3 linked regions of the Rattus norvegicus genome follow. The protein of the gene in region 2 purifies or fractionates together with the protein of the main gene of each other region. This does not show direct contact. Links are inferred from orthologs where the notes say so. Each region holds a gene or a part of one and is shown on either strand. Other genes may lie near its edges.

Region 1 (7,229 bases), on a different chromosome or scaffold from region 2:
TTCTTTTTATTCATTTTATTTACTCATTTTCCAATTGAAGTACATTTAGATTATTTCCATTTTTCTTCCCACATCCATTGGATATGACTTGTACAATGCTGACAACTGAATGATCTTACCCTTTCTTCCAGTCCATTATCTGTTAGTTGTTTTCTCAGGGTTACCACATGTACATACACACACAAACACACACATTGGTTTCTAGGAAGCTCATTAAAGTTTTAAGCTCATGAACATTTAATTTCTTTTTAATATTTCTGGCAGCTCTATCAGGAATGCAATGGAAAATAAGAGAGGTAATATGGGAAAGAACATTACTAAAATGAATTACATATGAAAATGTCCAAATAAAATCCATTATTTTATACAATGATTATAGTTAATAGTTAGCAATAAACATGATTATTTCCCAATACCTGTACTAAATAAAAGAACTTTCCATCTATGTTTGTATTTTGTTGCTGTATTTTTTTGGTTCTTATTTGGTAATAAGACTTTGTAAGTTCATAAAGTATACTGGATAGCTCTCCAACTTTTCTTGGTTCTGGAATCATGAATAAAAAAAAAATATTGTATGTGTTTTAGTAGAAGTATGCCTAAAATGTTTTTCATGTTTTAGTGGAATTTATGTCTTTAGCAGTTAATTTCAAGTTATGTGTCATGTAATCTAAGTCTTCCACATCCTCTTGTTTTTAAAATTTCTGAGATAGATTTATAGTATTTAATGTGATTATAAGCTGTCAAAACCTTCTTGTAATTTAGTACTATTAACTTAATACTTTCAGTTAGAATAATTCAATAATACATATTATTTTATAGAACCAATCCTTTATTAATATAATTTTTTTCTTTTTATGCTTTTACTCTTAGTCATACACTGTGTAACAACATTATGGTGAATGACACATTACATATACAATGGTGATCCCATAAGGTTTTCTCAGTGACATGGTAGTTTTTATAAGCATATCGTTATCAATATGATGAAATCACCTAACCACCTTTTCTCAGAATATATCCTCATTAAATAATGTATAAAGATGCTAATGTAGTTTTCCTCTGATTAGTCTTATAAAAAATTTACCGTAATAGTTTCAAGCTTCTTATGCTGTACTTAATTCTTATGTCAAAAAATTTTAAACCACTAAGAACCTCTCCATGTTTATTTATAAAATTAACCCATTTATATTTATTGTAAATACAAATGGACTTATTCCTGTCATTTTATTTTTAACCATACTTTCTTCTTCTTTCTTTTGTTTTTCTTGCTCCCATTTCTGCCTTTTGTTGAAGTGGATAGGTTTCTTCATTCCATTTCCCATCTCTTAATGGTTCGAATATCATAAATTGAATTCAGTTTTATTCAACTTCAGCATTATTTAAGCTTTAACATCCTGACGTCATGTATTCAAACCAAGTATTTTTCAAAATGAACATCTGGCACTAATTTGCATTGTGTATTCATTTTCTACTACTTTTTGAACTTTTTCTTAATTCTCATTTTCATACTTTTAAAATTAAATTTCCTTTCATTCTATAATAAAGATTAAGTGCGATGCTAGGTCAAACACCAGGCTTCATAAAGAAGTCTTCAATTATTCATTCCATTTTCTGATTCAACCAAGAATCCTCTGGTCCAAACCACAAAATCGTCTTTTCTCTCCTTTGTCTTTCAAAGTCACCTCTTCCATTAGCTCTTTAATCATCAACTTCATCTCCTTTTTCAATTTCTTTGTTGTCTCAAAACATCTTATATCCACCTTACATTTTTTTTAAAGAAACCCTGCATTCCACATAGTTTTGAATAAATTGTTTGCCTTTAGATTTAATGAACATCGTTTTCCAGCAACTCCTTGCCTTTCTTCATTTATCCTTCAAAATGGCGGACCTAGACAGTCATGATCAATACCACGTGCGCCTGCGCCTCCAGCGGCCATTTCACCCATCAACCCAAGCTCCAGAGTCCGCCCCTTCTGGCGCCTGCGCACGAGCCCCCGGAGCCCAGTCGCTCCTCCCCCTCTAGCTGCGTACGCTTGAAACCGCACGTCCCGGTGCTGTCCCTCCCCCGCAGGCTGTGTACCGCCCCCGCCCCTTTCCCGTGAGATTCTTCCGCCTAGTGGAAGGTCCGTCTTTGCTCGACAGCCTACGCGCTTCAAGTGCAATCCAATAGGCGCTCATGGTCCTGGGTCTCCCCATTCACTCTTATCTGTGAGCCTGTGTGATTTTCTTTTCTGGCCTCAAAGTCGATAACCGATTCGGCGGGACTTTTTTGCGTAGCGCGAGGCAACAAATGGAAGAATGGAGCTGCGGCGGAAGGATCTGCTGATCGCAGTCTGCGCGCTTTAATGGGGGTCGGCTTCCAGTCGGTGCTGGGAGGGGGGAAGGGAGGAGGCAGCCAAGGAATTGTTTTTTTTTCCCGACCCCGCCCTCTTCAGTTTAACCATTAGGAACCAAGAGTTTCCTTGGCTGCCCCGCCTATCCCCCGCGACTCAGCCAATCATCGGTGGCAGCGGCTCCGAGGGGGCGGGCCCGGGAGGCTGTGCGTGTCTTGTGTGAGAGAGCTCTTGAACCAAGTCAGAGCTAGAGTCGGCTGGGCGGCTGGGCTCTCTTGCCGCCGTCGCGGGTGACTCAGGGAGGCGGGAGGCGGGGTAAGCGCTCCGCGGGCCTCGGCTGCGGGAGACAGAGGGAGAAGGGTGAAGGACCCGCGCGGGCGGTCGCCGCGTCTTCTCGGTTCACGGTTCAGGACGGGCGGGGGTGCGCCCGAGTCGGCGGCCCGGAAGCGGGGGGCGGGGGCGCGGCAAGTGTCGAGTCTCGAGCTAGTCCACGGCGGCTCCGAGGCCGCTCGGGGCGGGGACCGGCCGCTGGGACGGGCCCTAGGCACTGAGGGAGCCTTTTCTTTGCCAGGGCGAGGGGACGAACACTTAGGCAAAAGCACTGGCGCTGCGGCTCAGTCCTCCCTTCTCTCTCTCAGTGTCCAGCTTTGAAAGGTTTGGAAAAAGCGAAAGTTGTTGGGGCGAGAGGGTCACGCGGCACTCCGGCGGGTGTTTGCGGGGGGGAGTAGTGGGGGGGTGGGGAGGCGCTGGTGGCAGCTTGGGGTGCGGAATCCACCTGCGGGGGTGTCACTCCACCGGTCCCCGTCGGCGCTTCGTCTTTTCGGGCCGCCTCCGACCTCGGCCGCCCCCATCGCATTTTGTTTTTGTGCCTTCTGCAGGGAGGAGCCCTTCCTGCTGGCGTGGAAACCATGGTGCTCACGCTCGGAGAAAGTTGGCCAGTATTGGTGGGGAAGCGATTCCTCAGTCTGTCCGCAGCTGAAGGCAGCGACGGCGGCCACGACAACTGGGACTTGGAGCGCGTTGCAGAGTGGCCCTGGCTGTCCGGGACCATTCGAGCTGTTTCTCACACTGACGTTACCAAGAAAGATTTGAAGGTAAAAAAGCAAAAAGACGAAAACAAAATACAAAACCCCTAAACAAACAAACAAAACCATCTTCTGGGGGCTGGGCAGTCAGACGGTTTTCAGTTACCTTGGTAACGGGACAGTCAAGCGCCCCTCCCTCCCTTTTCTGAAATGGGCCACTAGAAAGTTGGCAGGTGATCAGGAGGTGCAGAACTCTAGACCATGAAAGTCTTTGAAATGGTGTGTAGTGTTAAGGTGTGTTTGGCCTAGAGCTCCAGTGGCCCGAGATCAATAGTGGGTTTAGGATTGTTCAGACATGCTTCATTAACGCAGGCACTGGGTCCCGCTGGGACAGTCTGATTATGCCCTCAACGGGAGGAATATTGTTTATTAGTAATAGGTTAAAGAAGTGGATGACATTTAGAGTCACCATTGAGGGCTAGCTTGGAAGTGCTTTCAAAAATGAAGATTTCAGGTGGGGTGTTCCTTTTTATTTCTTCATTCAACTTCTTAAACTTTACAACGTGGAAATGGAGTGTGAATGTAAGGGAAGGAGCTTAGTTGTGTTTTTTAGTTCTGTTTGGCTTGTTCGGTGGGTATTTGTGGATGTGTGGTTAGTGAGGCAGGAGTGGGAGGGACTCTGGTTGTTAATGAGGCTGGGTTGTTGTGGGTACAGCCATGTATGGAAGCCTTGGGTGGAGCTGTCCCATATAGGGTGTTTGAGAGGAAGGAGAGAAATGGAACCGTGTGACCAGCGAACACATTCTGGAAGGAACCTTTTTCAGTTAGATCTTTTGAAAGGAATGAATTCTACTCTGTGATACAAATATTGGTGTGACAAAATAGTAGGGAAATAACCAGTGAGGAAGCCATTGTGCCCACAAAGACTCCTTGTGCAAAAACATCTGAAAGAAGATTCCTAACAAAGGCTCCATAGTGATTATAACTTAAAGAAAGTTTGTCAAGACAGAAGATATTTCTACTCTGAATAATGTGCATGCCTTGGGATCTTCTGTTTTTGCCATTTTCTTGAAAACTACTTAAAGGAAGCAGGTTTTAGCCATTGTGAGTTAAATGTTGATTTCTGAGACACTTCATTTGAACTCAGTTCATGCCTATACTATTATGAGTCTTGAGAGGATCATTGGAAAAAGTTACTTGCCTATGTGTTTTCAGAGTTTCCACCATGTGCCTTGTGTTCGTGTTGCAAAGGAAAAATGACCCCTGGGCATTTAACCTCGTTGCAGGCATCATAATGATCACTAGCAACTGCACTCTACTTGGTCCTTACAGCAGTGCTTTGGGCTACTAAGGACTGTTTGTTGTTGATCCCATGTTACTGATGAAGACCTGTGCCTGGGGAAGGCTGAGGTTCATGGCCTATGGGCCCCATCCTTAGAAATTAACATGGCCTGTACTCCAGTCCAGGAAATTTCCCTACTTCCCCCTTAGCCATCATGCTGCCTGGTCAAAGTTGTGCCACAGAGCTGCCACTACTTGGACTCTGAAACATGTCTTTTCTCTTCCATTCCACTTATCTACCAAATCAAGGTTTAGAGGCAGGTGTATGCAGATGACCAGCCTGTTTGCTCTAGGCTAATAACCTTTGTATCTAATATAGGCTCATGTACTAGATTTCAATCGTAATTGTGGGGTTTGTCTTTGTTTTTGTTTTGTCTGTCAAGTTAAAGAAGAAATTCTAGTATATTTATTTGATCTGATCTAAATGGGAGCAATATTTAAACTTTATAGTTCTTAGTTCTTGGGAGGTTGACAAGAGACTAGATTTCCTTCTCATGATTAAGGGCCTGTTGGACTTCACATGTAATGTAAAAGGTCTTTAACTTATATTGTTCCCCCCCTCCCAAAAAAAAAACCCTTTTAGGGGGAGCTTCACTTTCAGACAAGTCTTTGGTCTGGGCTGCTGTAATTAGTTACTAAATAATGATGGGAGGACTTGAATCAGTTTTTAACAGTGTATCTTCTAGGATTTCAGTTCAAAAACAATTTTGTTATGGGTTTTGCCTGAGAAACTCTTACAACTCAGTCCTTCTCTTAAGGTACAAATCTGCTTCGGTTTGTCCAAGCATTTACTGCTACATTCCCTAGTTGATCGCAAAAGTAATTAAGTTGTATTTAACAAAAATGTATCTTACAACTCTAGAACCAAGTTATATTCAGTGAGAATAAAGCAACAACCAGTAATTAAAACCATGTTTACATCTGGGCCTAGGGGTCTTGATGGTTTGAGGGTGTCTTGTGATGGAGTTACTAGGCTAAATAAAAGAGAATTTCAGGTTGTATGCAACTGTTTATTTACTGTGTGCAAGTCCAGCTTTTCTGGATGAAGGAAAACAAGTCGAAGGCTGCTTAACATTGTTTCATCTGGAAAACACTTTGTAACAAAAGGAATTTATAGGTTAGAAAAGCAATATCCAGAGTAGTGGATTTTGAAGAAGTTAAGGTGAAAACATTGTTAAAGTAGGTCATTGTTAAATAATTATTCTGTGGTGTCTTTTGAACCCTTCTAAGTGTCCTCAAATTGGGTAAGTTTTGGTTTTTTGTTGTTGTTGTTTGTTTTCTTTTTTCTTTTTCTTTTTTCTTTTTTTTTCTTTTCTTTTTTTTTTTTTTTTTTTTTTTTTTTTTTAGTGTAGGAAGTGAGATTGAAAGAAATTAAATAACTTGTTCACGCTTCTCTCCAGACCTTAGGCAGTGGCTTTCGTTTCAGTTAGAGTGGAGGTAGGGTGCATTATTATGCGAGTTTCTTTATGTCTAACAATGGAACTTTGCTTGGCATTTAGTATGTGTTCAAATACTTGGATGAATAAGTGAAGGACTTAGGAGAACTTTTCCTTTGCTATGGGGAAACAGGAATAACTTACTGATGAGGCAGAGACCGTTTCCTAGATTTAAGGACTTGTTTTATCTAACCCTACTGTGTCTTCTTGAGCGGGAAGGGTACATTTGCGTGTTGGGAAGGTCCTCTACCCCTACTTGCCTATGTAGGTCTTTAGTTTCTTTGTCTGCTTTCTTGAGTTTTCTGCTCCTTCCTTTGGCTATCTTTAGCAAATAAGTATAAACTGTTTCTTACTGTTGTCAGCAGTTAGATGTTCTCTGCCCTGTTGAACTGTTAGAACTGGAAAATTGTGAATCCCACTGCCAGTGAAGCTGTGTGAAACTAGAAACTCATAGCACAGTGCAATAAACAGTTTACCTCTTACAATTGAATGTTAGGTTATAGAATTTTCAAGTAGCATTGCACATATACATATATGCACACTCATTGAATTCTTTTGAATTTATGGAGTGGTGAAACATCTAGTGCTCTATACATTATAAAGTTGGCATAGAGTCAACATATAATCAAAACTACACTAACCACACCATTCTCTGAACTTGGAAACATTTTTCTTGGCGTTTCAATGGTTTTACAATTATATACCAGGTGAGATGAGTTTAAACCAAAATTGGTAGGTTTGGAGAATAGCTTGATTAGAAGTAACATTGCTCCATGTAACATACAGACTTCATTGTTGGGAGAAAAATTAGCTTGAAATATTTAGAACTATCTAAAATCAAGATATTTGATAGACTAATAGGCACCACTTATACTCTATTAAAAGCAAATGTGGAAAATACAGGTAATCAACCATAGTTTATTAAGCACAAATAACATTTGTTTGTATGCCCATGAAAAGAACACAATGGAAACCAGGTAGATCGATCAGCTCATAAACTTGTATGGGTTACTTTAGTTATCTTTGCATATCATCTGATAGAAATATTGGCAGAACATCTTAAAAGGAGTGCCCTTTATTTGATAACTTGAGAC
Region 2 (7,112 bases):
TGCCTTGTTGTCTTCTACCTAAGAAGGAGCAAACACCAGACCGAAGAAGTTTCTTTGGCAGCTAACGTGACTCTGTGCTGAGTTGAACAGAATTCAAATCCAACAGTTGAGATAGCAAAAGAGACATACAACATGAACATAGAAGTGACAAGCGTAAAAAAAACCCCACCACCACCACCACCACCAACAGCAACAACAGCAACAAAATACCCTTGTTTTAGTCATTATCTGCAGGCTCAGGCAAAGAATTACTTTTTTTTTATTAACTTGAGTATTTCTTATATACATTTCGAGTGTTATTCCCTTTCCCGGTTTCCAGGCAAACATTCCCCTCCCCCCTCCCCTTCCTTATGGGTGTTCCCCTCCCCATCCTCCCCCCATTGCCGCCCTCCCCCCAACAATCTAGTTCACTGGGGGTTCAGTCTTAGCAGGACCCAGGGCTTCCCCTTCCACTGGTGCTCTTACTAGGATAAAAGAATTATTTTTCAGCAAAGAATTACTTTTACTAAAAGTGACCTTCATGTCCGTAAAAAGTATCTTGAGCAATGGTTATTATCAAACTTCACTCGTCAGAGGTGTTATCTACACCAACAATAGTGGTAGAGTCATACTCTTCAGCAGTGTGACCTTCAAATGTAGTGACTTTTAAAGTCAACCAAAAGCAAGTGAACCTAGAGAGATTATTTGGGTTTTCTTTTGGTTAAAATATGTATTGCAAATCCTTTCCTACCTTCACCTCTTTTCCTCTTTTGACTGGGCCTTTGTATGTAGATCTAGTGACCCAGAACTCTCTATGTGGACCAGGCCTGCCTCTCTGTTTGCCTCACTCAGTGCTGGGATTAGAGAGTTGCACTGTTTACAACTGGTTAACGGTACTTAAAGTAAAAGAAGAATTAGATAATATGGTAATATGTCATGTTATTATAATTACCCATATTATATTAGAGTTAATAACTTACAGAACATGTTCTATATGCTAATCACTATGTCAGTTGGTATAAAAGTACTAATTAATTAACTCCTTCACTCCTCTCACGGATCCAATAGGGTAGATAGTATTACTGTATTTACTTTTATCAATGAAGAACTGAAGTCTACTAAAGATTGCTCACTGTACCTCAGAGATGGAAAAGGAAAAGAACCAAATATAAATTCTAGCAGTTTCCACAGCATCAAGTGCACCTACCAAGGCTAAATGTTATTTTTGTTACTTTATGCATTTTTGTAACATTCTGGAAATGAGAACAAGAGGCAATATTTGTGAACAACTGGGAGTCAGATTTCAACTGGAAGCAAATGAAAGTAATCACTAATGTATGAACATTGAATGTGAAAAATTCAGTGCAAATGTTTTATAGGCTGTCCGGTGTTCATCACAGGATGTCAGAAGGAAAAAACAGGAATGAAGAAACTAATAAAACTGGACTTCCCTAAAAAAAGAAACCACAAAAAAAAACAAAAAAAAATCCCTTTATGGTAGATTAAATAAAGCATGGGTAAACTTTGTTTTAAAGTCACTTGTCACAGAATAAATGGAAAAAATCTAAAGAATTTTGGGTAAAATATACAGGTAAACTAACTTCTATCTCAATACAAACTAAATCCGATGCTGAGGAAAGTGACTATGTCACATATGGATTTCTGTTCACAGTCAATAGTCAAGGTTTTAACAAAAGAATTCAAAATCCTTGCAGATCTGATATTTCAAATATGAATCTGTGTTCAGAAACATCACAAAAATGCCTTAGGTTTAGAGCAAACGTAGATTTCATAATCCTTAGAGACCTGATGGCCACTTACCCTGGAAGTATAAAACTGAAAAAAAGTGTTCCCTCTCTGCAAGAAAAATCTGTCTGAGAATAGCATTCATCCTTTCTAGATAGATGAGAAGTAGGCTAAAGGTTAAAGATAATAAAAAGGCACATCCCAAAACAGGTACCGGTTATGATGACAACAAAAGATGTATACATGATTTGAATCCTACTACTAAGTATGTGGTGAGCAGAATTATTACATACATAGTTTAGTATGCAATGTCCTATCTGATGCACCTATGTTTTGAGGTTCAGATATCTCAAGACCCAAATATTTGTTGATTTAACAAATTAATTTAGGCCTTTTCACCACAAAATCAAGAGCTGGGTACTAAGAATTTGGGGTTCCTATGAAATACGTTCCTTCTCCTATGAATAGTAACTGTTGAATGATAATGATATAGGGGAGAAAATAGTAGGTGCTATAGTACCTACTATTGCTAATAGTAGAGCAAGTGCTCTCCTACTTTACATAATACGAGAGTTCTCTTGACTATCTTGAATGTAGATGGACACATGAGTATTTTAATTTAGGACAGTACCAAGTTATTATATTTACATAATTTACAGACTTAAATCTTTATAGAGGTCTAGAACCGGACGAGCACTCATTTATCCCAGAGTTTCTATTTATGACATAGTCAAGGAGTAAAATAAACATAAATAAGGGATTGACAAGAAAAAATGAAAGTAACTACCAAGGAAATGACAGGAGATTAAAAACATGATGTGATGAGGATATGGATTAAGCACAAATATTCGTACTTGAGAGTTTTTTAATTTATTTATTTTATTTTATGTGTATGTTTTACTGCATGTGTGTCTCTGTGCCATGTGCATGCCTGCTCCCTCTGAAGGTGGAATCCCCTGAAACAGAGCTACAGGTGACTGTAAGCTACCAGGTGAGTGCTGGCAATCTCACTGATATCCTCTGTAAAAGCAAGTTCTTCTAACTGCTTAGCCATCTCTCCGGGGTTCAAAAAAAGTTTTGTTTTGTTAATGGAATATTGCTATGTAGTTCTGTCTGGCCTAGAACTAGCTGTGGAGAACAGGTGGCTCTCCCACTTGAGGCAATCCTATCTTCTCTATATGCCTCCCCCACCTCAACCCCACCCTGAGTGCTGGGATTACAAGCATCTGCCATGTTGTCTGACCTGACCATGTTGCCTTGTGAAACGGAGGAGAAACAGTGAAATTTCAGGGCAGGGTCTCAAAGACGGGAGGGGGCGGGGGAAGGGGGCGACCTGTAGCCTCAGTAGCTGAGCGAGAGTGGAAAGTGAGAGGTAGGAGAAAAGAAAGATAATCCTGGGGAACAAGGGAGCAGGGAAGAAGGAATAATCCTGAGGAACTGGATGTTAATCGTCTCTAGTAAGCAAAAAAGGCAAATAGAAACAAAGAGAGGTGACTGAAAATTCCCGTTGTGTCTGAGGATTCTGGCAAGTGCTGGCAAATGGACGCCAAAGTGGTTACTAGGGATCTGAGCCTAGCCGTGACGCGCGCCCCTCACGTGACCAGGAGCCTATGTCTGCCCAAGACCCTCTCTGGTCCCGGTCCTTTTTGCCTGTCCAGACACCGTCTTTCTATTACCGTTTGGTCGAGAAGGAAAGCAGAAGTAAGTAAGTTCCCTGGATCCTCTAGGTTTGGTGATTGTCAGAGGTGCCTTGTAACCTGCGGGATCGGACCTGCAATGCAGAATCCTGATCTTTCACTATGCTGCAGCCCCGCCCCCCCGCCCACGGTTTTAGTACAGAAAATGGTGGTCCTGGGAGTGGGGTGAGGTACAAAGAACGATGTTCCACGTGAGGTCTGAGGAAGGTGAACCCCAATGGAGCGGTCTTTGGGCGGTTAGCTGGTCCCCACATAAAGGGGTGTGCGTCATTGCTGCTGTTTCTCTTCCCTATCCCCGCCCCCTACCCTGCCTAGCGTCTAACTGTAGATTTGCGGGTCTCACTTAGGCGACTCAAAGGGGAGCACACCGGCCGGAGGTTGGGGTAAGGATGATCAATGGGACAGGGTCGGGGTCTGAGAATGAACACTTATGGTATCAGTCTGTGGACTTTACTGCTCCGCCCCTGTCACTGCAGGAGAGGCCTGTGGCAAGGCCTGCTGGGAAAAATGGTGGTCTTTCGGGAAGGAGGGGGGCTTGCTGCACAGTAGCCGGCCTAAGGGCCCAAGAGCTTCTGAGTGAGCTAAGATTTAAAGACACCGGTCTCAATCAGGCAAAGGCAGAGATTGAAACGCGTAGCTGGGGTGTTGATTCATCCCGCCAAGTATTGTGACTCTGTTCTGTTTTTTTTTTTGTTGTTGTTGTTGTTTTTTTTTTTTTTTTCTGTTTTCTTGTCTCAAGAATAACTGCTTGGAGAAGAAACTTCTCAACATGGAAAACTCACACAATGAAAGTGAAGAACAACCACAGAGCACTCCAAAGGTCGAAGAAGAGCAGCCTGCAGTGGAGCAGTCTCCTGAAAATCAGTGTTCTGAGGATGATCAATCCTCAGAGGATCTGTCATCCGAGGAGCAGTCCTCCGACGAGGAGTTCTTTCCTGAAGAGCTTCTGCCTGAGCTGCTGCCAGAGATGCTGCTATGTGAAGATCGTCCTCCACAGGAGTGCCTCCCACAGAAGAACGCGTTCGAGGACCGTATTCCCATGGAGCAACCTCCCTGTGGGATAGGCAAACACAAGCTAGAGGAAGGAAGTTTCAAAGAAAGGCTGGCTCGTTCCCGCCCTCAGTTTAGAGGAGACATCCACGGCAGAAATTTAAGTAATGAAGAAATGATACGGGCAGCGGATGAGTTGGAAGAGATGAAGAGAGTACGAAATAAACTCATGATAATGCATTGGAAGGCAAAACGGAGCCGTCCTTACCCTATTTAATGTGCCCCACTTTTCATTGTTTTGCTTGCTAATAGCATTTGCTACCTGGCCCTTCTGTTTGCATCTTCTAATATGCCCTGTCCCATCTTAGTTGTAACAGTTGGTATTCAGGTTGTGCAGTTTTATTTCAGGTGTTTGACTTGTAACTGGCACGGTTTTGTTTGTTTTTAATCCTCTAAAATCTGTGTGATCCATTTGCATGGAAAGACAAACATTATATAGGTGAGGTGATAAAAGCAAAAGGTATATACATAGCATTCCATTTTTGTAAAAGGAAAACACATTTATATATTAATATGCAAAGAAAAGCTAAAATCTATATACTTAAAGGCTAACTAACATTGGTTATCTGTGTAGTAAAGATAATAGGTGATTTTTATATTTTTTAAATTTTGCTTTATCCAAAGTCTCATTTTTCATGATGAATACATTTTATTTATGTTGCACAACAAACAATATAAAGAAAAATGTGAAGCAAGTCTAAAATCAAAACTTGTTCATCAGCTTATAAAGACAATGTGCTCCTTAATAAATATTTATCAGAACTTAAAAGTTGATCCGATGTTTCTTCTGAATCTCTTTTCTAAGATTGATCTTATTTTTTTAATTTGTATGAGTATTTTGTTTATATCAGGTGTGTGAATAGTGCCTGCGGAGGACAGATGAAGGTGTTGGATCCCCTGGAACTGGAGTTACAGATGGTTGTGAGCCACCACATGGATGCTGGGATTTGAACCTAAGTCCTCTGGAAGAGCAGCAAGTGCTGGTAACCACTGAGCCATCTCTCCAGTCCCTCTTCTGGATCTCCTAAGCAGAAATAAAAAGCGGGATGTTTATTATCAGTAGGAGTAATATTTTCCAAGTTAAATAGGACTAAGACATACCTTAGACTGTGGTGGTGAAACTAAATGAGAAAAGGATCCTTTGAGCTCTTTCTTTTTTGGTAGGCCCTCCCCCAACCTCTACAGACTTGGTTGAAGCATGGGAAATTAATAGCTGAAGAATATCTCACTTGTGCTCAACAAAAAATTCCTGTGAGATTCCACATGGGTACCACATTCTGTTCCTGTTCTGCTGTACTCTGCCTTACCTGCCAGGTACAACTGCCCCTTCTATGTCCTGCAGTTTTCACTGTTCCTTTTGCAATCACTAGTGAGCTGCAGCTTGTAGTGCAGCTCCTCTCGACCTTTGGAGAATGTCCCTTCTTCCAGCTTTACTGTTAAACATACACAAGTATATATAGTCACAATGCTGTTAAGACTTTGATATAGTAAAAGAGTGCTCAACATTACTTTTAAATGCTAAGCAAAATGGCCTTTTTCCATGATTTTTATCTTAAAGTCCCTTTTTTATCCTCCCTAATTCAAGCATGAGGTCACTGAGACCTGGGATAGGAAGCCAAATTTGTAAGATGGACATCGTGCTGTGTAATTAGAATAGAAACTCCCTTTCCAAATATGAAAAGGGGGCTTCTATCTTGTCTAGTCCACTCGTGCCTTTGAGGCAAAGCTTCCATGCTCATGCTCAGGTTTCTGCATGTGTCTAGCATGCCTTTCTCTCTTCTGTTCAGCAAAATCCCATACAATCAGTCCCAGAAGATGTTCCTAACTGTCACCAAACCAAGTTGTTAGATGTCCTTTCCTGGTGTGTCTAAAGTACCAAGTGACTTCAACTTTTATTGTAGAAGCAACAGCAGCAGAAGCAACAGCAGCAGAAGCAACAGCAGCAGAAGCAGCAGCAGCAGCAGCAGTAATAGTAGTTGTTGTTATGTGTGTTACAATTATTTTAGGCATCTACTTCTGTGAATTGGGGAACTTCTCAAAATAAAAACCTGTATCTTGCTCACTAGCGCATCTAAAAGAGCGCAGAGCAAATACTCATTAAATATAATCTTCTTGAGCCAGATAGCCAAGAGGCTGGTGCTACCTCCTCTACTCCAACCTCTGTTATTCACAGCTAAAGCTGAGGTTGTGTCCATTAGTGAGCTCTTGGTATGAACAGTAAGCTGCTTAATGTGCAAGGCCACAGCAGTGGAAGCCTGGCCGGAGCAAGTGCTTTCTTTTGGGATGATCTGGGTTCCAGGGAAGGTGCTAGCGGCCTGTCTGGAGGCTGTTTCCATAAAGAGTAACTGATGGTTCTGTTGCCTCTCAAAATCTGAGGCATCTTACCAAATAACAGAAGCCAATTATTGGAAGGTCATGGTGGTGGTACAGAATAGATTTTAGTGTGATGAGCTCGGTGATCAGAACTGGCTGCATGATCATCCTAAGGACCACACGAGCTGACAACTTCCAGTGAAGAGCTTACAGAAGAACTCAAAATCGCTCGTTTTTACTTCATATACATGAGTGTTTTGCCTGTGTGTACCACATACATGCAGGGACTGCTAAGGTCAGACGAAGGCCTCAGAACCCCTGGAGCTA
Region 3 (7,129 bases), about 100 Mb from region 2:
CCATATAGTGAGTCCCTGTTTAAAAAAATATCTGGGAAACTTAAGATCTATATGATTATTCCTATTGTCTTTTTATAGGAGAAAAGCAACCTTATGTTATCTCCCGGAGATAATTATGGCATTTTCACAGTGTCATTATCTTAAGTTTGGAAAGACAGATCAACAGGACCTAGTTGTGGGCATGGTGACTCATTTGTCTGATTTCAGCATTTAAGAGACCAAAATGGGGATTGTGGCAAGTTTGAGGCCAGCCTTGGAAGAATATTTAGAAAACAAGATGAGCATGGTAACACAACATCTGAAGTTTTAACACTTGAGAACTAAAGCAAGAGCAGAGCAACACAAGTCCCAATCTAACCCGAGCTACCAAGTGTGTCTTGTCACAAGAAAGACAAAAAGTTTTATAAGAACATAGTGGTAAAGATTATTAGGCTTTTATGGTCATCTTCGTGTAGTTCAAGATCAGCCTGGGCTACATAAGACTTTGTCTCAACAACAAAAAAGATGAATTGAGTTGAATTGAGTATGTAGCCATTCATTCATAATGCATCCTTTTAGTCCTGGCACTCTGGAGACAAAGGCAGTTGAGTTCTAGGCCAACCTGGGCTATATAATGAGTTCCAGGCCAGTCAGGGCTACGTAGTGGGACCCTGTCTCAAACAAAAGATATTATGTAAAAAGAGGAACTGAAGAAATGGCTCAGCAGTTAAGAGTACACACTGCTTCTAGAGGCCCTGAGTTTTCTTTTTTCTTTTTCTTTTTTTTCCAGAGCTGGGGACCGAACCCAGGGCCTTGCGCTTGCTAGGCAAGCGCTCTACCACTGAGCTAAATCCCCAACCCCAAGGCCCTGAGTTTAGTTCCCAACACCCACATTGGATGGCACACAAACACCTGTAACTCTAGCCTCAGGGAATCTCATGCCTTCTAGCCTCTGAGGACCTTTGCAATTACATGCACATGCTTGCACCCAGGCACACATACACATTACTAAAAGTATAAAAAAGCACTAAGAACTGGCAATAATTTGGTAACAAGAAACAAGTGACTGAAGATCTAAGTCTTAATCATCTTTGGGTGTATTGGCCACAGGATAATGGGCAGTAAAGAACTCACTAGTATGCCTTTATGTGTATTTAGATGTATTTAAATAAACTTGATAGAGCAATGTCATATTTATCACCTATAAGTTTTTTAATTATGCAGGATGGTGGGGATATGAATAATGAAAGAATTCAAGGCAGAAAAGGGCACAAGAAGAGAGTTTATTATGTAAGAGATGGCTTTTGTTGAGGCAGGGGTGTTCTGTGCAGGTAGTTAAGCAGTATTTCAATGATGCAGTGCCCTGGAACATTTGTAGTTGGGGCTTATGGCAGTAGAGTTAACTCTTTCTGGCCAGGTAACAGTCAACAGTGGCCTTGCTTTGTAAAGCCCATCCTGCCCTGAGTCAATAGTGCTCTGTTGTGAGGCTGTCCCAGAGTGGTGTCTACATTTATTTTCCCCGTTTGTGTGAGGTTAAGTTTCTAACCCTGGCTGGGCTCACATTCAAAGTAATTTTCTTGCCTCCCAAATGCTGTAGTATCTAGTGTGGTGCACTGTGTGTGTGTGTGTGTGTCTGTGTGTGTGTGAGTGTGAGGAAGGAGAGGAGAGAGAGAGAATTCAATGTAAGACTTCTTATGTGTTAGGTAAATGGTCTACCACTAAGCTATATCCCCATCCTAAACTAGCTGAAGTTTTGCTAAAGAATGATTTTAATATTAATTTTCTTCTAAATCTGTGCTTTTAGGAAGATGAGGGGCTGGAAAGATGGTTCAGTGGTTAAGAGGGTTATTGCAAACACTCAAGTCAGGTAGCTCACAATTGCCTGTAGTAACTCCAACTCCAGGGAAGATCTGAAGCCCTTGGTTTCTGTGAGTACCTGTATTCATGTATACATTTCTATCCACAGACACACAGGGATACAATAATTAAATAAAATCTTAGCTGGATGTGGTGGTGCACACCTTTGATACTAGTACTTGGGAAGCAGAGGCAGGCAGATCTCTATGAGTTTGAGGCCAGCCTGGTCTACTGAACAAGTTCCAGGACAGCCAAGGCTGTTACAGAGAAATCTTGTCTTTAAAAAAAAAGCCAGAAACTAAACTAATGTTTTTAATTGAGCAGTGTCCCTCTTTGCATTGAAAATACTATTACCTATAGCTTTATTAAGTGAACTTCATAAATGGTAGAGGCCAGTAAAGCTGGAAGGAGGAATGACAGTGTAGAAGTTGATAGGTTGAATGATAGATTTTCAGGCATGAGCTCCTAGGTAGGGATGTGTATTTTTTCTGGAATAAGTGATAAGGTCTGGGGAGTTGGGAGGGCAATGTACAGACAAAAAAAAGCCAACCTAACCAAACAAACACAGAAATACAAAGTCAAGTGTGATTTATGTCTATAATTATAGTTTGGAGATTGAGGCAGCCAGTTCTCTGCTAGCCAGGACTATGTAGTGAAACCCTGTCTCAAAAGAGACCCCAAATCAAACTCACAGCATAGCTGAGCCATGAGATTATGTACACAGCTTTTAATCCCAAGATTCAGGAGGTCGAAGCAGAAGGAACCAGAGAGCTTGAGTCCAGCTTGGGTTACATATGTAGTATGTTCCAGGCCTGACTAGACCTGGTACAAGACCTCATTTTAAAAAAAATGGGAATGAATAAAGAAAAAAATCGAGTTATCCAATACTGAAATGTGCATTTCACTGAATAAATTTTGCCTTTTACTTATATTTACATAGTGCTGCTACAAGTAACTGCAAGTGATGAAAAGTTGTATAGCTAGCTCCTGAATATGACACCTTTGTCTGTCTGGGTTCCAGGTTCCTTGTGGAGAAACACTGGTATAAACAGTGGGAGGCGTATGTGAAGGGAGGGGATCAAGATGCTAGCACCTTTCCTGGCAGTATCAACAATTCGGGGCTCTTTGAAGGTACTAAGCTTCTGCCTCTCCCCATTAACCTTGCCCTGGAATTCTGATTCCTTCTGTTCCCACGAGGGGTCATATTCCCATTCTCTATGCTTAGTCATTGGTAGGGTGGTCAGAATTAACAGTTCCTTTCTTAATTCATGTTTTACCTTGTCCGTACTCCCTACACCTGCAGATCAGATAAGCTGGCACCTCAGGGAGAGACTGGTAGAAGGAGATGATTATGTGCTGCTCCCAGCGCCTGCTTGGAACTACCTGGTCAGCTGGTATGGCTTAAAGGATGACCAGCCACCTATTGAGCGCAAGGTATATATGGGTGGGGTAGATACTGAGGGGGTGTGTGTTAGATATCTCTGGGAAGTTGGGGAAGAGGAAGGCCGTGTAGGCTCAGGGAGGTACAGAATTGTGTATACCTACATTCTTTTGTCAGTTGGGTGGGCTTTTGAGTGTTGGTGCTCCTCTGCCTTCACAGGTCATAGAACTTCCTGGCATTCGAAAGGTGGAAGTGTACCCAATAGAGCTGCTGCTCGTTCAGCACAGTGATATGGAAACAGCTCTCACCATTCAGTTTAGCTATTCTGATTCTGTCGGTAAGTCTCAGGGTCTCTGGAATAAATTCATGCTCCTAATCATGGGTTATATCTCAGTGAACCTGAGGATGTGTGGGGACCAGCCTACTGCATCCTGAGAAGGCACCAGTTAAACTGTGGGGGAAGGTGGCCAAGTCAAGCACAGATACTGGGTGTCTTCTAGAGTCTCCAGAAAATGGGCTATATTCCAGTTGCTTGGCTGGGGTGGAAAAGAGTGTTTATTGGAAAGGTCTCAAATTCTGAGTTTGTAAGCGTGAAGAATGATCTGAGGATACAAAGTATTGGCCAAGTAAGCAAAGTCTGTGAGAACGAGTTAACACTATCACATGGGGTCCTAGAAGATGTGGTCATGTTTCATCACCCTCTACAGACCTAGTCTTGCAAACAGCCCGGGAGCAGTTTCTGGTAGAGCCTCAGGAAGACACGCGCCTCTGGACCAAGAACTCAGAGGGCTCTTTGGATCGATTATGTAACACGCAGATCACACTGCTTGATGCCTGCCTTGAGACTGGGCAGGTAACAGTGGGGGGGGGGGGATTCCTCTGTGCTGGTAGCCAGGTGGATGGATTCCTGGCACTAGTCAGACGAGGGAAGGGCAGGGTGCCCTTGAGGCCTTCCATTAATACATTCCTTTTTTCTTTCTCTACCTTATACCCAGTTGGTCATCATGGAGACCCGAAACAAAGATGGCACTTGGCCCAGCGCTCAGCTGTGTGGCATGTGAGCCCTTGGGGTGTCATGCAGAGTGGGGGCACCCCAGAGTAGGCAGACAGAACCTAAGAGTACAGAGCACCCTCCTATAGTCGACCTTAGCTCATAGGGTTTCTCATCCAACCCCAGGAACAACATGCCGGACGAGGATGAGGACTTCCAGGGCCAACCAGGCATCTGTGGCCTTACCAATCTGGGCAACACGTGCTTCATGAACTCGGCCCTACAGGTTGGGCTATTAGGTCTATGTCTGGCAAGCTATAGTGGTTAGGTATTGGGGACAGAGCTAGAGGTTGGGATTGGGGGAAGGAAGATTACAGTACAAGGGGTCAGATGGAGAGCTAAGGCTCCATGAATCTGATCTGGTGTGCCCACATTTGCTCCCTATTCTCCCTCCCTCCTTTGGCACCTTCCATTTTCCTTCCCCAGAGATACTGATTTTTCCTGATACTGCATTCACAATGGCAACCCCTTACCTTTCTCTCTCTCATTTCCCTCTCTCCCCCTTCCTTTTCTGTTTTTACCTATGCCACCCTACCTCTCTACCTCTTTCATTGGGCCCTACTACCACAGTGCCTCAGCAATGTGCCACAGCTTACGGAGTACTTTCTCAACAACCGCTACCTGGAGGAGCTCAACTTCCGGAACCCTCTGGGCATGAAGGGTGAGCTTGCTGAGGCCTATGCAGATCTGGTAAAGCAGACTTGGTCTGGCTACCACCGCTCCATTGTGCCGAATGTTTTCAAGGTGTGTCTCAACCCCATGGGCTCCCTCCCACCATCCTTTCTCTTGCTTCTCTTATCTCATGCTCACTCTCCTATCTACTGTCTCTTCAGAACAAGGTTGGCCATTTCGCATCCCAGTTTCTGGGCTACCAGCAGCATGACTCACAGGAACTACTGTCATTCCTCCTGGATGGACTACATGAGGACCTCAATCGAGTCAAAAAGAAAGAATATGTTGAGCTATGCAATGGTGCTGGGCGGCCTGATCTGGTAGGCTACCCATTAAAGCTACATGGCCACTGCCTTAGGAAGTCTCTGGTTTCCCCAGTCTATCTAATACCTTACCATTTTCTCAATTCCCTTACTTTGACCTTCACCTCAACCTTAGTCATAGCACTAAATCTGTCCCCATACCTATCTTAGAGTTAACTCCAGTCAGGCTCCTGTCCTTCATGCAAAATGCCAGCTCTGAAAGGGAACATGGGTTCCAGATAGATCTAGCTGTGACCCTGCCACTAGGCTTCAACAGAGTCCTTTACCTCAAACCCCTATGAGTCCATCCCCAAACTTTCCCCTCTTCCCCTAACCTACCATGACATTTGTTCAACAGGAAGTGGCTCAGGAAGCCTGGCAGAACCACAAACGACGAAATGATTCTGTGATTGTGGACACTTTCCATGGCCTCTTCAAGTCTACACTGGTGTGCCCTGATTGTGGCAATGTTTCTGTGACCTTTGACCCCTTCTGCTACCTCAGTGTCCCACTGCCTGTCTGCTCCAGGAGGGTCTTGGAGGTCTTCTTTGTCCCCATGGATCCCCGCCGCAAGCCAGAACAGGTGGGGTTATGGGAACACAATGAGGGACATTAAATCAGAATTTGATTGCCTTCCTCAAGCTTTTCTATATTAACCTACTATAAGTTCCTTTGATCTTCTGTGGATGTTATTTCTCCTCAGCACCGGGTTGTAGTCCCTAAGAAGGGCAATATCTCAGATCTGTGTGTGGCTCTGTCCACACATACAAGTGTTGCACCAGATAAGGTAAGACTTTGAAGAGGGAGGCTGGGCAGGTAGGGTTTAAAGGAAAAAGAACCTTGCACACTGACTGTCCCTATGTCCTTTTCCTATTACCAGATGATAGTAGCTGATGTCTTCAGTCACCGATTCTATAAGCTCTACCAGCTGGAGGATCCTCTGAGTGGCATCTTGGATCGTGATGATATCTTTGTGTAAGTGAGGAAACCGATACGAATAAATAGAGGATGGTTCCCCCACCTTTTGTTTTGCCCTACTGGGGATAGAACCCAGAATGCACAAGCATGTTAGACAAGTACTCTTAACATTTGAGCTACACTTACAGTTCAATACATATATATACTCATAAGTATATATAATATATACAATACTTTTATAAGTGTAGAAAATAAACATGAATATATATAAGTATATATAATATTTATATCTATATAATAGATCTGTATCATGAGAGAGAGAGATGGTCTCTCTGTGTAGCCCTGGCTGTCCTCAAACTTAGAGATTCATCTTGCCCCTTCCTCCCAGGTGCTGGGATTAAAGGTGTATGCCATTATGTCCAACAACCTGCTCCGATAAAAATGTATTCATTATTTATTTAGAGCCCAAGCTCCCTGCATATTGGGCAAGTGCCCTATCACGGAACTATGCCCTGCTTCCCACAACAGTTTTTAAATTTGGAGCAACTAAAATGGTGTGAGTAGAAATTTTCTTTGTAAATGAGTGTTTTCCACCAGAAAATGTTTCCATCCTTGTTTTTATTACTCTCCTCCAAGCATTTCCATGTTAGCAAGGCTCTTCCTCAAACGGCATATAAAAAAAGTGCTGTGGAAGTTGTCTGGTAGTTTATAAAATACCAAGTCCTTCATGGATTTTCAGACCCTTTAAAATATTTTGGGACAAGGCTAGACAGAGGACTAGCCTCTTTCAGAGGATCCAAGTTCAATTCCCAGCACCTACATGGAGGCTCACAACCATCTGCAACTCCAGCACCAGGGATGCCCTCTTTTGGCCTTTGCAGTCACCAGCACACATGTGATACATAGATGTACATACAGGCAAAACACTCATACACATAAAATAATGATAAAATACTTGGGGGAGGCAGG

What was found.
Region 1: the proteins of Tceal1 (region 2) and Kdm3a purify together in Homo sapiens (affinity purification with mass spectrometry; 3 studies listed by BioGRID and IntAct, counting the BioPlex papers as one, with this or other methods). This does not show direct contact. The link is inferred for Rattus norvegicus from reciprocal best matches to the Homo sapiens genes TCEAL1 and KDM3A.
Region 3: the proteins of Tceal1 (region 2) and Usp11 purify together in Homo sapiens (affinity purification with mass spectrometry; 4 studies listed by BioGRID, counting the BioPlex papers as one, with this or other methods). This does not show direct contact. The link is inferred for Rattus norvegicus from reciprocal best matches to the Homo sapiens genes TCEAL1 and USP11.

Annotation. Positions count from the first base shown.
Region 1 is NC_086022.1:105,228,635-105,235,863, reverse strand, and holds the start of Kdm3a (lysine-specific demethylase 3A), read left to right. Parts: upstream 1-2,493; 5' UTR 2,494-2,648; intron 2,649-2,752; exon of another isoform or gene 2,753-2,779; intron 2,780-2,904; exon of another isoform or gene 2,905-2,987; intron 2,988-3,211; 5' UTR 3,212-3,241; coding exon 3,242-3,427; intron 3,428-7,229. UniProt on the Homo sapiens protein: Histone demethylase that specifically demethylates 'Lys-9' of histone H3, thereby playing a central role in histone code.
Region 2 is NC_086039.1:104,847,484-104,854,595, forward strand, and holds Tceal1 (transcription elongation factor A protein-like 1), read left to right. Parts: upstream 1-3,329; 5' UTR 3,330-3,426; exon of another isoform or gene 3,427-3,430; intron 3,431-3,773; exon of another isoform or gene 3,774-3,805; intron 3,806-4,161; 5' UTR 4,162-4,191; coding exon 4,192-4,689; 3' UTR 4,690-5,241; downstream 5,242-7,112.
Region 3 is NC_086039.1:4,031,022-4,038,150, reverse strand, and holds part of Usp11 (ubiquitin carboxyl-terminal hydrolase 11), read left to right. Parts: intron 1-2,857; coding exon 2,858-2,967; intron 2,968-3,139; coding exon 3,140-3,270; intron 3,271-3,436; coding exon 3,437-3,554; intron 3,555-3,924; coding exon 3,925-4,070; intron 4,071-4,212; coding exon 4,213-4,274; intron 4,275-4,394; coding exon 4,395-4,494; intron 4,495-4,838; coding exon 4,839-5,012; intron 5,013-5,101; coding exon 5,102-5,260; intron 5,261-5,600; coding exon 5,601-5,825; intron 5,826-5,945; coding exon 5,946-6,029; intron 6,030-6,122; coding exon 6,123-6,217; intron 6,218-7,129.